Arabidopsis thaliana: one gene and its partners. The protein of the gene in region 3 binds, or shares a complex with, the protein of the main gene of each other region. Each region holds a gene or a part of one and is shown on either strand. Other genes may lie near its edges.

What was found. Proteins that work in one complex are often made in the same cells at the same time.
Region 1: PBP1 (region 3) and BGLU21 share a complex: the UniProt entries of both Arabidopsis thaliana proteins name them as parts of the PYK10 complex.
Region 2: PBP1 (region 3) and BGLU22 share a complex: the UniProt entries of both Arabidopsis thaliana proteins name them as parts of the PYK10 complex.

What each region holds. Positions count from the first base shown.
Region 1 is NC_003070.9:24,699,314-24,704,836, reverse strand, and holds BGLU21 (Glycosyl hydrolase superfamily protein), read left to right. Parts: upstream 1-1,670; 5' UTR 1,671-1,841; coding exon 1,842-2,006; intron 2,007-2,208; coding exon 2,209-2,278; intron 2,279-2,395; coding exon 2,396-2,451; intron 2,452-2,538; coding exon 2,539-2,614; intron 2,615-2,781; coding exon 2,782-2,859; intron 2,860-2,949; coding exon 2,950-3,037; intron 3,038-3,126; coding exon 3,127-3,379; intron 3,380-3,499; coding exon 3,500-3,615; intron 3,616-3,693; coding exon 3,694-3,911; intron 3,912-4,018; coding exon 4,019-4,053; intron 4,054-4,137; coding exon 4,138-4,240; intron 4,241-4,331; coding exon 4,332-4,440; intron 4,441-4,519; coding exon 4,520-4,727; 3' UTR 4,728-4,969; downstream 4,970-5,523. UniProt on the Arabidopsis thaliana protein: Beta-D-glucosidase active on scopolin >> esculin >> 4-MU-glucoside > DIMBOA-glucoside. No activity with pNP-glucoside, oNP-glucoside and sinigrin as substrates.
Region 2 is NC_003070.9:24,705,958-24,711,638, reverse strand, and holds BGLU22 (Glycosyl hydrolase superfamily protein), read left to right. Parts: upstream 1-1,642; 5' UTR 1,643-1,901; coding exon 1,902-2,066; intron 2,067-2,224; coding exon 2,225-2,294; intron 2,295-2,371; coding exon 2,372-2,427; intron 2,428-2,756; coding exon 2,757-2,832; intron 2,833-2,955; coding exon 2,956-3,033; intron 3,034-3,122; coding exon 3,123-3,210; intron 3,211-3,298; coding exon 3,299-3,551; intron 3,552-3,644; coding exon 3,645-3,760; intron 3,761-3,837; coding exon 3,838-4,055; intron 4,056-4,159; coding exon 4,160-4,194; intron 4,195-4,301; coding exon 4,302-4,404; intron 4,405-4,487; coding exon 4,488-4,596; intron 4,597-4,672; coding exon 4,673-4,880; 3' UTR 4,881-5,127; downstream 5,128-5,681. UniProt on the Arabidopsis thaliana protein: Beta-D-glucosidase active on scopolin >> esculin >> 4-MU-glucoside. No activity with DIMBOA-glucoside, pNP-glucoside, oNP-glucoside and sinigrin as substrates.
Region 3 is NC_003074.8:5,577,469-5,581,586, forward strand, and holds PBP1 (PYK10-binding protein 1), read left to right. Parts: upstream 1-1,821; 5' UTR 1,822-1,985; intron 1,986-2,006; exon of another isoform or gene 2,007-2,061; 5' UTR 2,062-2,091; coding exon 2,092-2,292; intron 2,293-2,389; coding exon 2,390-2,833; intron 2,834-2,954; coding exon 2,955-3,206; 3' UTR 3,207-3,564; downstream 3,565-4,118. UniProt on the Arabidopsis thaliana protein: Inhibitor-type lectin that may regulate the correct polymerization of BGLU23/PYK10 upon tissue damage. Activates BGLU21, BGLU22 and BGLU23.

The sequences.
Region 1 (5,523 bases), on a different chromosome or scaffold from region 3:
CGTGCAATGAAATCATCCAATTTAAAATATTTAATAATAGTCCTTCTGTATAACAACCACTAGTGTTCTTGTGGAATTTTTATTTTGTTTCAAAAAAAAACATGTTATTTTAAATTTCCAATTTTACTTTTCAAATAAACTTCCACGTTTATTCTTTAATTTATTCATATTTTTGTTTTAAATTTAACACTCACTCTGATTCATTATATAGGATATTTCAGAGATTTATTTAGGATGTTTTACTAATATCAATGCAATTTTTAAATATATTTTATTTGATTATTTGACTATTGGTTTGTATTTTGTATTTTTAATATCAAGAGAACAAATTTTATAATTAAAAATAAATTTCTTAAAGTGTGTGTTTTAATCTAAAACATCATATAATTTGAAATAGAGGAAATATCATCTAATAAAGTAATGGTATATTTGTATAGTTAATGATTTGTCTTTTTATTCGCGCAAAATGTGTCAATTATAAAATATAAAGAGGATATAATTTAGTTTAGAGTTTTAGACACGAGGACTATATATTGGAAAACAAAAAAGTAATGTAAACCATATAGATCATGGAATGAGTCATCCTATTAAACAGTTGTATTATATATTTATATTTTAGTCACTAACACATTAATAACTTAACGTCCATAACAAAATAAGATCCAAAACTCGATCTAGATCTATACGAGGCACTAAATGATCCATTGACTTAGGGCCGGCCGATTGGTTCGAGGACTCCTCATGCTGTAAACTTTTTTTTTGGACATACATGATATATTTTTAAGTCACGTTTTTATATTATATGTTCCACGCCCAATATAATATGTTCCAAACTAGGAAAAATAAGTAAGAATTAGTCAATGATCGAGATAATGCAATGAATCATCCTATTTATTAAATAGATTTACTAAACTATATATAATACAATGATCGAGATCGTGCCATGAAGCATCCTATATACTATAAAAATAGTCTTACTAAATACATACTCATATAGTTTAGTCATTCATTAGTCCAAACATTAAATGAGAGATCCTTTACTTGCTACCTGAATTTTTTCAGAATAAGGTATAACTTTTTTTCGAATTAGAAACTGATTTATGAAAGATTAAGAGTAATGTTCGTTAAACAAGTTAAAAAATATGTTTTTACAATTAAGTTTTGAAAAATAATAAAGTCTCCAATTATTTGAGTATCAAAAATAGGCTTGTTATTATTTAGGGTTTTCGTTGGTTTAAATGCAACGGGGTGTGGTTGTCATTGTGGAAGTTAATGGAAGTAATTGGTTGAGGTTTTAAACGTTATCGGACATTTTAAATGACTGGTTTACAGTTAAAAATATGTGTATTTACGGCAATTTTATGATTGGCTTAGCAGTAGATGCGACAGTGGTTTAAACCAAAAATTACCAAATAAATAATATACAATTATTAAATTATATAAAACACCAATATTATATATTTATATATATATGAACATAGTTAATTATCGAAACCATAGACAAAGTACATAAGAGTTATTCCGAAAAAGGTTTATTATGAAACACAAATAATCATATTGGGAGATTATGATATCCAAAATGGACTAATCAAATAATTAAATCCAAAATGGATGAAGAACTTATATTAGTTCCACGCACAATATAATATGTTCCAAACTAAGTAAGAACACAACGGTCGAGGTCATGCAATGAATCATCCTATATATAAAATAGTTTTACTAAACAATTATATTTTAGTCACTCGTTAACAAACAATCAAAATCGCTATATAAAGAACTCCGATTGGATGTAAACAAATCATCATAAACTTGTTCTCTTCCAGAAGAAACTAAAAACAAAAATGGCATTGCAAAAGTTTCCTCTCATGGGGCTGCTTTTGCTCCTAACCATCCTCGTCTCTGTGACAACAGCGGTTGATGATCCTGTTTGCCCGGCGACTTCCAAGCTAAGCCGAGCAAGTTTCCCTAATGGGTTTTTGTTTGGCACGGCTACTGCTGCGTTTCAGGTACAACAGATTTACTAAATCATAGTTCAAAAAACAAAAAGTAGTGTCGTTATTGTGTTTCTATCTGAATTCAAATCCATATTTTTAAAATATGGTTTTTTTTTATGTAAAAGTTGCTCAAAATATGTTATACCTATCATTTGAAATCATTTGTGCATGTGATATTCCTCAACTCATCAACTATTTTTTGTTATGTCATTAGGTCGAAGGTGCAATTAATGAAACTTGTCGTGGACCGGCTCTATGGGATATCTACTGTAGAAGAAATCCAGGTGAGTGTACTCGTATAATCTACATTCTCAATACAGTATGTTTAAATATTAAATTAAATTTAACTAATTAATATCAATACATAGCCATTAATTTTCTTAATTACTTTCAAATTACAGAGAGATGTAGTGGCGACCACGCCGATGTGGCCGTTGATTTCTTCCATCGTTATAAGGTATATATTAATATAAATTTAAGACAAACATAACTTATATTCTCGAGATGTTATTGAAATTTTGCCTTGTCTTAAAAATGTTTGTAGGAAGATATTCAGCTAATGAAGAATCTAAACACAGATGCATTCAGACTCTCAATCGCATGGTCAAGAATATTTCCTCGTGAGTATATGTCTGCAGATCTCTAGTTTGATTTTGTTTTAATCGAATTTGGTGAAATTAGATTTATGTGATTGTTATATAATACTAATAACCAATGAATTTAGATGATGTATATGTGAATGTTGAAGTATCAATAACTAATGAAACAAACTGTAATGCTTTATTAGATGGGAGAAAGGAGAAGGGAGTGAGTCAAGCTGGTGTGCAATTCTACCACGAGCTCATCGATGAACTCCTTAAAAATGGTTATATACATATAAAATACCTAGTTCACAAAAATACAAGTAATATAGTATCCTTATTTAACATTTCTTTCTATTTTACGTCATAAATAGGTATAGTTCCGTTTGTGACTGTTTTCCATTGGGACACTCCACAAGATTTGGAAGACGAATATGGCGGTTTCTTAAGCCAAAACATTGTGTATGTTTTTGTAAATTAAACAAAATACATTTAGTTAAGTTTATATGGAAATTATTAATTTGGTATCTTTTTTTTTTGCAAAAATACAGGAAAGATTTTCGAGAATATGCAGATTATGTTTTCACTGAATACGGTGGAAAAGTGAAAAACTGGATCACTTTCAACGAGCCATGGGTCTTTGCTCACGCAGGTTACGACTTAGGAAAGAAAGCACCAGGACGTTGTTCTCGCTACGTTCCAGGTTGCGAAGACCGAGAGGGACAATCTGGTAAAGAGGCTTATCTAGTCAGTCACAATCTCCTCAACGCTCACGCAGAAGCTGTTGAAGTTTTCCGCCAAAAGGTAGTTTACATTAGATATAAATCATAATTAATTATCAGGTCACATTAGATATAAATCACAATTAATTATCAGGTTTCGAATCTTAAAATAGGTTGTTTTGTGTTGTGTTTATGGACATAGGTTAAAGGTGGGAAAATCGGAATCGCACATAGTCCGGCTTGGTTCGAACCACATGATCTTAAAGATTCAAATGACGCTCCAACTGTTAGCCGTGTACTTGACTTTATGTTGGGATGGTAAGTATATATTATGTTAGAAAATGGTTTCTCGTATATAATTTCATAAAAATTAATGTAGTTATTAATTTTGTGTAGGCATCTGGAGCCAACTACTTCGGGAGATTATCCACAAATCATGAAAGACCTTCTTGGTTACAGATTGCCTCAATTTACTGCTGCACAAAAAGCAAAATTGAAAGATTCGACCGATTTCGTAGGGCTTAACTACTATACTTCGACATTTTCAAATTATAATGAGAAGCCAGATCCGTCTAAACCAAGTTGGAAGCAAGATTCTCTTGTTTCCTGGGAACGTAAGTTTTTTTTTGTTTTCCGTACATGAAACCAAACCAAGAAACTAAAGATAAAAGGTTTTATAATACTAATTGATATGCATACATTTTCACTTTTTATTTTTCAGCTAAGAATGTAGATCACAGCGCCATTGGTAGCATGGTAAGCGTTTGATTAAACTAGTCCTAGTTTGTGATTGTTAATTTTTGTCTACGACATAACATTTTCACCATTGCTTTATTTCAGCCTCTTACTGCTGCATTGCCCGTCTACGCTAAAGGATTTAGAAAGCTTTTAAAGTACATCAAGGACAAATACGCAAACCCGGAGATTATGATAATGGAAAATGGTAACTCGAGATTTATTGTTATATTTGTGTGTTGATTTAATCTTAACTCTTAAGAGTAATATACTGATCATTATAATGTTGTTTTTTCTAGGATATGGAGATAAACTTGGGACCACAGATTCGGTTGACGTTGGTACTGCTGATCATAACAGGAAATATTATCTTCAGAGGCATCTTCTGGCTATGAACGAGGCTATTTGGTAAGCCTTTTATTATTTGATAGATTGACTAACGATTCTATTGAATGGTCTAATTAAGAACATAATTGTGTTTGTGCAGCATCGATAAGGTGAGAGTTACGGGATACTTTGTATGGTCATTGTTGGATAACTTCGAATGGCAAGATGGTTACAAAAACAGATTCGGACTCTATTACGTCGATTTCAAAAATAACCTCACACGTTATGAGAAAGAATCAGCCAAGTATTACAAAGATTTCCTCGCTCAAGGTGTTCGTCCATCCGCACTCAAGAGGGATGAGCTTTAAGTTATATTTTGAGGATTTCGTTTTCTATTCGATGTTTTTCCTATGTTTTAGTTTGTGATTGACCACGCACGATTCATGAGTCGTGGTTAATAATAATAAAAGTGTTTCGTTTTCCTTCAATCTCTAGCTTATTCGACAAGATCAAGAAGGCTTTAGTTTTAATGACGTTATCCTTTTTGAGAATCAATATGTGAAGTTAAATATGTTTTACCTTCCAAACTTGAAGAAAAATTGAATCATACAACCTTAACATTAAAAAATTTATGAGTTACAAAATGATGTAAGAAAATATCATTAGTTTTAGAAAATTAAAAATACGAATTTACCTCTATACATAGAAATAGATTAGGAAATAATTTGACGTCGTCTTAACAACTAAGTACAAACATTTCAAAAACTAACAACTTAAACGTTGGCGATGAAATAAACAATGGCAATTCATTTTCCCAAACAGTTCTAATATTTTATTTTTGAAAGTCACTAGTTTAGATTAAAAAACAGGACGACCAGCAAGAGAAGATATCTCTTTTTCACTCATTTGGCCAAGCGTATTTTCTATATACCTTAAGGAAATAAAATCCATGCATGATGCAACCAAATAAATCCACCATGCAATACCAACATCATTCATTACTTTGGAAATTCATATTTCATTCTTAGCAAGCAAAAAAAAACAAAAAAAAACAATCAAACGTATGTGTTAATAATGAAATCATCACATTCTATCTTACTAGTAGTCACTTATCAAAAACGATTTATGTAAATAGTGATTTTCAAGATTTTTTTTTTAAAAGCA
Region 2 (5,681 bases), on a different chromosome or scaffold from region 3:
CGAATTTATTTTATTTTTTAGTATTTAATAGTTTTATATTTAATTGGAAGTTTCCATTTCCTTGACTACGCCATAAAGATACACAAAGACTCTTAACTGATCCAGATCATTGAAGTAACCAAGGGTAAGTAATTGAACTGGCCATAGTTAGTAAAAGATTGTACCAACCGTTTCTTCATTCTTAGGAGAGCAAAAAAAACTAGTCGCAGTGTATTCTTCTTCTATGACGACTAGACGAGAGTAGTGAGTCGCAATGTGCTTTGGTAGGGCATCAGCTAAGAGGAATACACATATTTTTAAGTTGCTTTCTTCCAAGGTACAATATTTGACATATATATGGACTTGTAAACTTACCAGATTTTCTGATCATGTAAATAGTAGCTTTCAATGTCCTCGATCACAAAGGCCATGAAGTGTAGCATTTTGAGAAATGGTCATTCCAAATCTAAATGGACTTTCTCATTGAGTTGTTTGAAAGAAAAATAATCAATTACACCACCAATTGATCGACCAAGAAAAATGTTTGGTGAATAATAGTTACCCCAATTTGTGTTTTTTTGGGCAAAAAAGTTGCCCCACATTTATATTTTAATTTTGATGCCTAAATTTCGTTGATCTTAATTAGGCTTTACCGCACTGTCCTGACAGCAGTCAGCATGCGACTAGAATGTGACCAATTGTTTGTCCGAAACCGAAGATTACTCATTCCAAACTCCCAGTCTAATTGGAGGTTGTGTCTTGATATCTAATAACTTGTTTGATAACCATTATAAGGTCTTTTGCTTAGGTTTTACGGTCCATAAGTTACCAATGTATCCTATGATCAGGACGACTACTACAGGTTCAAGATTTTGAAGATATAGGTCATACACTAGATTTTCTTATTTATAATTGTATAGTTTAGCTTAGTCACCCGGGATCTCTCATCGAATGAATCATCCTATTTAAATAATAGTCAAGCGGAAACCAATAATGAAAGATTATATTAAGTTATGAAAACGTCAATAATAATCATGATTAAGATAAGATCGAAAACACCATTTGGATGATTAGATCTATCTATATAGTAAAATAAAATAAACATTATCAACGAGGCCTGGTTGTGGCATATTAAAAACAAGACATTAATGAGAGATCAGTATCGCTATAAAAAACGACACTAACATATAAATGAACCATCCTAAAATTGTTTTCTTAATCAAGACAAAAGAAAAAAAAGAAAACTAAAAACCAAAATGTCATTGCAAAAGTTTCTCATGGGGACACGTTGCTCCTAACCACCATCGTATACAATAGTTAAATAATTGTATACTATCTTAGTGGGATAAGTAAATGAAAGTTTATTCAATAAATATTAATATCTTAAACGTCAATAATACCTAAAGTAAGATCCAAAAACTCGATCTGGATCATTACTATAGAAAATTAAAGAAAATGATTAACGAGGCCTTGTTGGCATATCTTTTTCTTTTCTTGTAAAACAGATCTGGTTGCATATTTGAAAGTAGACATTAAATGAGAGATCCGTTGATTATGGAAGATTAAATGTTAATATTGTTGCTCGTTAAACACGAGAAATATTATTAAGACGAAGGTGCAACAATAGATGAAGACTTCAGTTATAGGACATACACGATTTTTTTTTTTTTTTGATAGGATACACTATTTATTTAAAGGCACGTTTTTATTATATGTTCCACGCGTAATATAATATGTTCCAAACTTTGAAAAATAAGTAAGAACACACCTATATATAAAATAAATTTATTAAACAAATATAGTTTAGTGACTTATTTGTCATTACCAAACAATCAAAATCACTATATAATTAAGAACTCTGTTTAGATGTAAACAAATCATCACAAACTTGTTCTCTTCCAAAAGACCAAAAATTAGAAACCATGGCATTGCAAAAGTTCCCTCTCCTGGGGCTTCTTTTTCTCATAACCATTGTCGTCTCTTCGACAATAGCCGTCGATGATCCTGTGTGCCCAACGACGTCCAAACTAAGCCGAGCAAGTTTCCCTAATGGGTTTGTGTTTGGCACAGCTACTGCTGCGTTTCAGGTAAACTGTGAGACATCAAAATGAATTATTTACTACACTATACTTCAAAAATATGTATTAGTGTTGTGTCTCCATCAAAATTCAAGCCTAAGTCCAAATGCTGAATTCAAACATATGTTATTACCTCAACTCATCAGCTATTTTCGTTATGTCATTAGGTTGAAGGTGCAATTAATGAAACTTGTCGTGGACCTGCTCTATGGGATATCTTCTGTAAGAGAAATCCAGGTGAGTGTATAATCTATATTTTCTATACAATATCTTTAGATATCTAAATTCATTCACTTTTTATTTTTAAATTACAGAGAGATGTAGTGGCCACAACGCCGATGTGGCCGTTGATTTCTTCCATCGTTATAAGGTAAATATATATATGTATTTTGAATCTAAATTTAAAGTATATTCAAAAGAAAAAAAACATCTTTACAATAAAGTGCCTCTTGTTTGAAAAGAATTTTGAGAAAATTAACTCAGAGGATGCTTACAAAACTTTGAAATGGTTAGACCCTTGAGAGGAGCCACACTGTATATATAATATATTAATATAAAGTTGAGGTATATATTAATATAAATTTAAGGTATATATTAATATAATTTTAAGACAAATATAACTTATATTTTATACTTTTAGTTTGCTGATATTATACGAGATATTATTGAAAATTTGTCTCGTCTTAAAAATGTTTGTAGGAAGATATTCAACTAATGAAGAATCTAAACACAGACGCATTCAGACTCTCAATCGCATGGTCAAGAATATTTCCTCGTGAGTATATGTCTGCAGATCTCTAGTTTGATTTAGTAATCGAATTTGGTGAATTGATATATAAATCAATAACTAATGAATTTTACATTTATTGACTAATCAAACAAACTAACGGGTTTTTAGATGGGAGAAAGGAGAAGGGAGTGAGTCAAGCTGGTGTGAAATTCTACCACGACCTGATCGATGAGCTCCTTAAAAATGGTTATATACATATAAACTAATTAATTAAAAAAGACAAGAAATATAGTATCATTATTTAACATTTCTATCTATTTTTACATTGTAACTAGGTATAATTCCGTTTGTGACTGTTTTCCATTGGGACACTCCACAAGATTTAGAAGACGAATATGGCGGTTTCTTAAGCGAGAACATTGTGTATGTTTTTGTAAATTGAAACAAAATACATCTAATTAAATTTTATATGGAAATTATTAGTTTAATATCATTTTTTGCAAAAATACAGGAAAGATTTCCGAGAATATGCAGATTATGTTTTCACTGAATACGGTGGAAAAGTGAAAAACTGGATCACTTTCAACGAGCCATGGGTCTTCGCTCATGCAGGTTACGACGTAGGCAAGAAGGCGCCAGGACGTTGTTCTCGCTACCTTAAAGGTTGTGAAGACCGAGATGGACGATCAGGTTATGAGGCTTATCTAGTTAGTCACAACCTCCTCAACGCTCATGCAGAAGCTGTTGAAGTTTTCCGCCAAAAGGTAATTTACATTAGATATATATATCAAAATTAACTATCAGGTTTTGGATATGAATATAATTTGTTTTGTGTTGTGTTAATGGACATTTTGTAGGTTAAAGGTGGGAAAATTGGAATCGCACATAGTCCGGCTTGGTTCGAACCACATGATCTTAAAGATTCAAATGACGTTCCAACTGTTAGCCGTGTACTTGACTTTATGTTGGGATGGTAGGTATATACTTTGATAAAATGGGGTCTTGTATACAATTTCATATAATTGATGGAGTTTTGATTATTATTTGTAGGCATCTAGACCCAACTACTTTTGGAGATTATCCACAAATCATGAAAGACCTTCTTGGTCACAGATTGCCCAAATTCACTTCTTCACAAAAAGCAAAATTGAAAGATTCGACCGATTTCGTAGGGCTTAACTACTATACTTCAACATTTTCAAACCATAATGAAAAGCCAGATCCGTCTACACCAAGTTGGAAGCAAGATTCTCTTGTTGCTTGGGAACGTAAGTTTTTTTTTCCTTACATGAAACCAAACCAAGAAACTAAGAGAAAATGTTTTCTTTATAATACTAATTGATATGTATACATTTTCACTTTTAAATTTCAGCTAAGAATGTAGATCACAGCGCCATTGGTAGCCAGGTATGCGTTAAACTAAACTAGTCCTAGTTTGAGATTGTTTTAACAACTAAACAATTAAAATATTTCTCTCAACGACATAACATCTATCACCATTGTTTTATTTTCAGCCTCTTACCGCTGCATTGCCCGTCTACGCTAAAGGTTTTAGAAGTCTTTTAAAGTACATCAAAGATAAATACGCAAACCCGGAAATTATGATCATGGAAAATGGTAACTCGAGATTTATGGTTACTGTGTGTTGATTTAGTTTGGAGTTAAAATATATATTCATCTTAATGTTGTTGTTTTTCTAGGATATGGAGATAAACTTAAGGACAAAGATTCGGTTGAGGTTGGTACTGCTGATTATAACAGGAAATACTATCTTCAGAGGCATCTTCTAGCTATGAACGAAGCTATTTGGTAACCGTTTACTATTTATTTATTTAGAGAACAATTCTATGGAATGATCTAATCAAGAAAATTTGTGTATGTGCAGCATTGACAAAGTGAGAGTTACGGGATACTTTGTATGGTCATTATTAGATAACTTTGAATGGCAAGATGGTTATAATAACAGATTCGGACTCTATTACGTCGATTTCAAAAATAACCTCACACGTTATGAGAAAGAATCAGCCAAGTACTACAAAGATTTCCTCGGTCAAGGTGTTCGTCCATCCGCGCTCAAGAAGGATGAGCTTTAAGTTATATTTTGAGGATTTGGTTTTCTGTTCAATGCTTCTTTCCTATGTTTTAGTTTGTGATTGATCATGATTCATGAAGTCTTGGTTAATAATAATAAAAGTGTTTTGTATTCCTTCAGTTTCTAGCTTATTTGACATGATCAAGAATGCTTTAGTATAAATATATTATCCTTATATGAAGGTATCTTTACCTTCAAAACATGAAGAAATATTGTATTATATATATTAAAAAAAGTCTTAAATTTACAAAAGGACTGATGTTTTTAAATATGAAGTAAAAATATCATAGTTTTTAAAATATTGAAAATACGAATTTACCTCTATTTAAAGAAATAGATTATGCAATAACTAGACGTCGTCTTAACAACTAAATCGTGCAAATATTTTAATGACTAATAACTTCAACAACTTAAACCGCTTGGCGATGAAATAAAACAATGGAAATAGTTTAACATTTTTAGAAAATCACCATGATTTGAGATCGGATAAGATGTCACACCGTAGCTACAAGTTTGAGATTAATCTTTCCAAACAATTTAGATAAAATCAAGTTACATAATTTGATATCGGATAAGATAAGACAATGTACATAAAAATGAACACAACATAATATCAGCAAGATGGTTCTAATATAACAGATTGGGATTCTACTACGTCAATTTTAAAAATAATCTCAATGTTATGAGAAACAATCAGCCAGGTATTACAAAGATTTCTTTGGTCAAGGTTTTAAGGCCCTGTTCGTTTCTACATTTGATAGATCCATCCAACTGATCCATTCAACATGTCTATTTGGATGAT
Region 3 (4,118 bases):
TGGTCTGGTGGAGTAGAACCTATGCGGGCAATGAGGAAGGTTAAGGTAGGCTAACCGAGCCCACTCTCTAAGTGTTTAATTTGTAACCTTAATTCGTAAATAAAAGCTGTTTAATTTGTAACCTTTATTAGATAAAATTTTGTCTTTTTTTTTGTCAAAAGATAAAATGTTGTCAATCATTTTAAAAACAAAGAAAAAAACTTTTTTGGCAAGAATTTATATATTTGCTTGTCATAAATTTTCCATTTTGTAGTATTTTGAAAAAAATATTTTAACGAATGGAAGCAATAACTCGACAAAAAGAGTCAAACTAAAGTACCTTCACATGCAAAACAAAACGTAAATTTGGTATTTTTTTCCCATTAAAAAAAATATATATATATTCTTGGCCTTGTGTGCGAAGACGATCGAGAACGAGAAGAACGATAAGCTCAATACGCACGAACGTAGATCGAAGACTGGAAAGGTATATCTTCATCAAAATATTCATGATTATGGTTGAGTTTAATTTTGTTTACGTATTTGTTTTAATTTTTCAAAAGTCCACTGTTGGCTGGCTGTTGCTATCTTGGAATGATTTTCATATCTCAATAACTATTGTTTACTCTAAGTTAAATTATTGGGGTGCTATTTATGATGACTGATGAAGTGATGGGAACATGATTGCAATATTAAAATCTCTTTTTTATTTATATTAATTATAAGTTTGTACCCACTTCATTTTAAATAGATAATGCCAAGACGTAGGTATATTATTACTGAATTTATTTTTTAATAATAAGTAAATATGCAGGTTTCAACTAGAAAGGTAACACATCAACAAGAAATACCAAAAACCACTAGCTTACATATTTTGATCATATAAGTATTGAATAATATAGTTATAGATGATCAAATAGTTATTATTAATTACTTAGCTAGTGTAATTTCTATCGATTGTTTCACATTCGCAACAGATAATTATATAAATAAATACATACTACATGTTAACCTTTGTTTTTGTTAAATAGGATGTTTTCTTGATTGATGATCTAGATCAACTTTTAATAATTTATACGTACCAGCTTTCATTCGATCGTGCGACTTCTTGGAATATCCCATGGTACATTTGCAGTCGAGCTAGAAAGCTTTTTTGATAATTTATGAATCATATTAAGCGTCTCTCAATTAGATTAATATTTAGTACCAGTGTAAATGATACAATTATAAATCTTTTTACCAACGAATACAGAATTTGTTTTAGAAATATTCTTCGCAAAATTTTATAATATTTCATAAATCAGTTATAAAAAAAAAAAAAGCAGTTTTGAATTCAGAGGAATTCGTAAATTTCCCTAAGAGTTATTAAAACTAGTTGTGATATTTTGGAGTATTCTTTATGGCTAGATCCATATGATCCGGTTCTTGTATCTAGATTTTTTTTACGGAATATTGTATGATATATCTAGTCTCCTCTTTGGTTCTAAACTTCTAATTAATCTTCGGTGATTTGAATTAAACGTTACTGTTTTTAAATTATGATTAAGGCTTTAAAACATGTTCATACAATAATTACCAAATCTTAACCAATTAGACTCTTAATAAGGAGAACGTATATATATGTTGCAACTTGCAACTTTAGCCCTTTACAAATAATTAATCGTACATAATCTAATTGATAAACGATTCTTTAAATTTTAAAACAATGAATTAGCTTGCTGCCATCGTTTAATGGGCCAACGCCAATATAAAGACGATTAGTTGAGAAGTTGTGCAAGTAGAAGTATATGAATATTTTCATTATCTAAAAAAAAAAATGTATATGAACATGCGTTTTTCCCAGTAATGCTTTTTATATAAATATGCCTCGTGGATCACGAAAGAATAAATTATTATTTCCCTTATTATTTCATCTAGTACGATCAATATCAAGAAGTCAATATAAATAAACATACAATTCACTTTAATTGATCATAGCACCGATAACAATCTACTCTCTTTAAAAGGTCTTATCTCTATTCTTCTCTATTATGTAAAAATTGGTTAATAGTAGATATTAACAATTTATTTTTGCAACTACAGAAATTCGTAAGTACTATCAAGAAGCAGAAGATGGCCCAAAAGGTGGAAGCACAAGGAGGGAAAGGAGCCAACCTATGGGACGATGGATCGACACATGACGCCGTGACCAAGATTCAGCTCGCAGCAGGCATAGACGGAATTCAATATGTTCAGTTTGATTATGTCAAGAACGGACAACCCGAACAAGCTCCTCTTCGTGGTACCAAAGGCCGTGTTCTCCCAGCTGATCCGGTTCCTATATTTTCCTTGCCCATTAATCTTCTTCTTTCTATATGTATACTGTTATATTTTGAAGTTTTGACATTTTCATCTTGATCTATTTCTACAGTTTGTGATTAACCATCCAGACGAACATCTAGTTTCTGTAGAAGGTTGGTATAGCCCTGAAGGTATCATTCAAGGAATTAAGTTCATCTCCAACAAGAAGACTTCTGATGTCATTGGATCCGATGAGGGTACTCACTTCACTCTACAAGTTAAAGACAAGAAGATCATTGGCTTTCATGGGTCTGCCGGGGGCAATCTTAATTCTCTTGGGGCTTACTTTGCTCCGTTGACTACTACAACTCCGTTGACTCCTGCCAAGCAGCTAACGGCATTTGGTAGTGATGACGGAACTGTATGGGATGATGGTGCTTACGTTGGGGTTAAGAAGGTGTACGTTGGACAAGCCCAAGATGGAATCTCAGCTGTTAAGTTTGTGTACGACAAAAGCCCTGAGGAGGTCACAGGAGAAGAACATGGAAAGAGTACTCTACTCGGATTCGAAGAGGTATAATACTTTCTTTGCTCTTTTTGTTGAATGTAAAAATTATACATCAGAGAATTCAAATTCTCTTCCGGTTTCCATCATAATGTATTCAATTGTTTTATTTGGTTTCCAATAACTGCAGTTCGTACTTGACTATCCAAGTGAATACATCACCGCAGTCGATGGCACTTATGATAAAATCTTTGGGAGTGATGGCTCAGTCATAACTATGCTCAGGTTCAAGACTAATAAGCAAACGTCTCCTCCCTTTGGACTTGAAGCTGGCACAGTCTTCGAACTCAAAGAGGAAGGCCACAAGATCGTTGGTTTCCATGGAAGAGCCGATGTTCTGCTCCACAAAATTGGAGTCCATGTTCGTCCTTTATCCAACTGATGATGGAGCTCTTTATCCTTGATTCCATGCATCTAATAAGTTATCAAATCTATCTTCTAAATTTCTCATATGAGGTCTCTTCATGCCTCTGGTGAATGGTGATCTTTGATAAGTGTTTTACGCGTTGTCTCTTGCGATGTTGTTTTTTCTTTGTTCTTCTTGTGCTCTATTTTAATAAAGGAAGTTTGTTCCAATCTGATCTTTAGTTTCCCTATATGTTCTATAATACTTACTTTTGCCATTATTTGGTTCTGATACTAATTTTACTTGCTATAATTCAAACTAAAATCTCAACGTATGAATTGTACAATTTAAAATGCAAATGTTAACTTTTTTGGATCAAATATATAGTTGTTCGTATTTTCTCAGTAAAAAAATCCTGCACAAAGTTTTTATCTAGAATGTGTGACCATATTGAAGTTTTTGGCCTTCTCCAAACATAAAAAGTTATTAGTTAAAAGTATATGAGTTGGCCAAAAAATACGAACCGGTTCTTGTTTCTAGATTGAGCGTTACAGAAAATTGTATTATATATATACTCTTGGTTCTAATTTCTCTTAGGTGATTTCAATTATACTTTTACTGTTTGAAATAATGTACAATGCTGTGGAAACATGTTCTTACAAGACTTATCAAATCGTCAACCAATTAGAGTCCTAAAAAGGGGGTCACTAATTGTAGAATTCTGACTTATATAAATTGCAACTTGCACCCTTTACAAGTAATAACGTATATAATAAAATTGACGACTCTGTGAATTTTAAAAGAACTAATTAGCTTGCTGCCATCGTTTCATTGGCCAACACCAATATAAAGACGATTAGTTGAGAAGCTGTGGAAGTAAAAAAGGAGTATATGAATATTTGAACATGTATTTCTTCCGGTAATGTTTTAAATATGCCTCGTGGATCA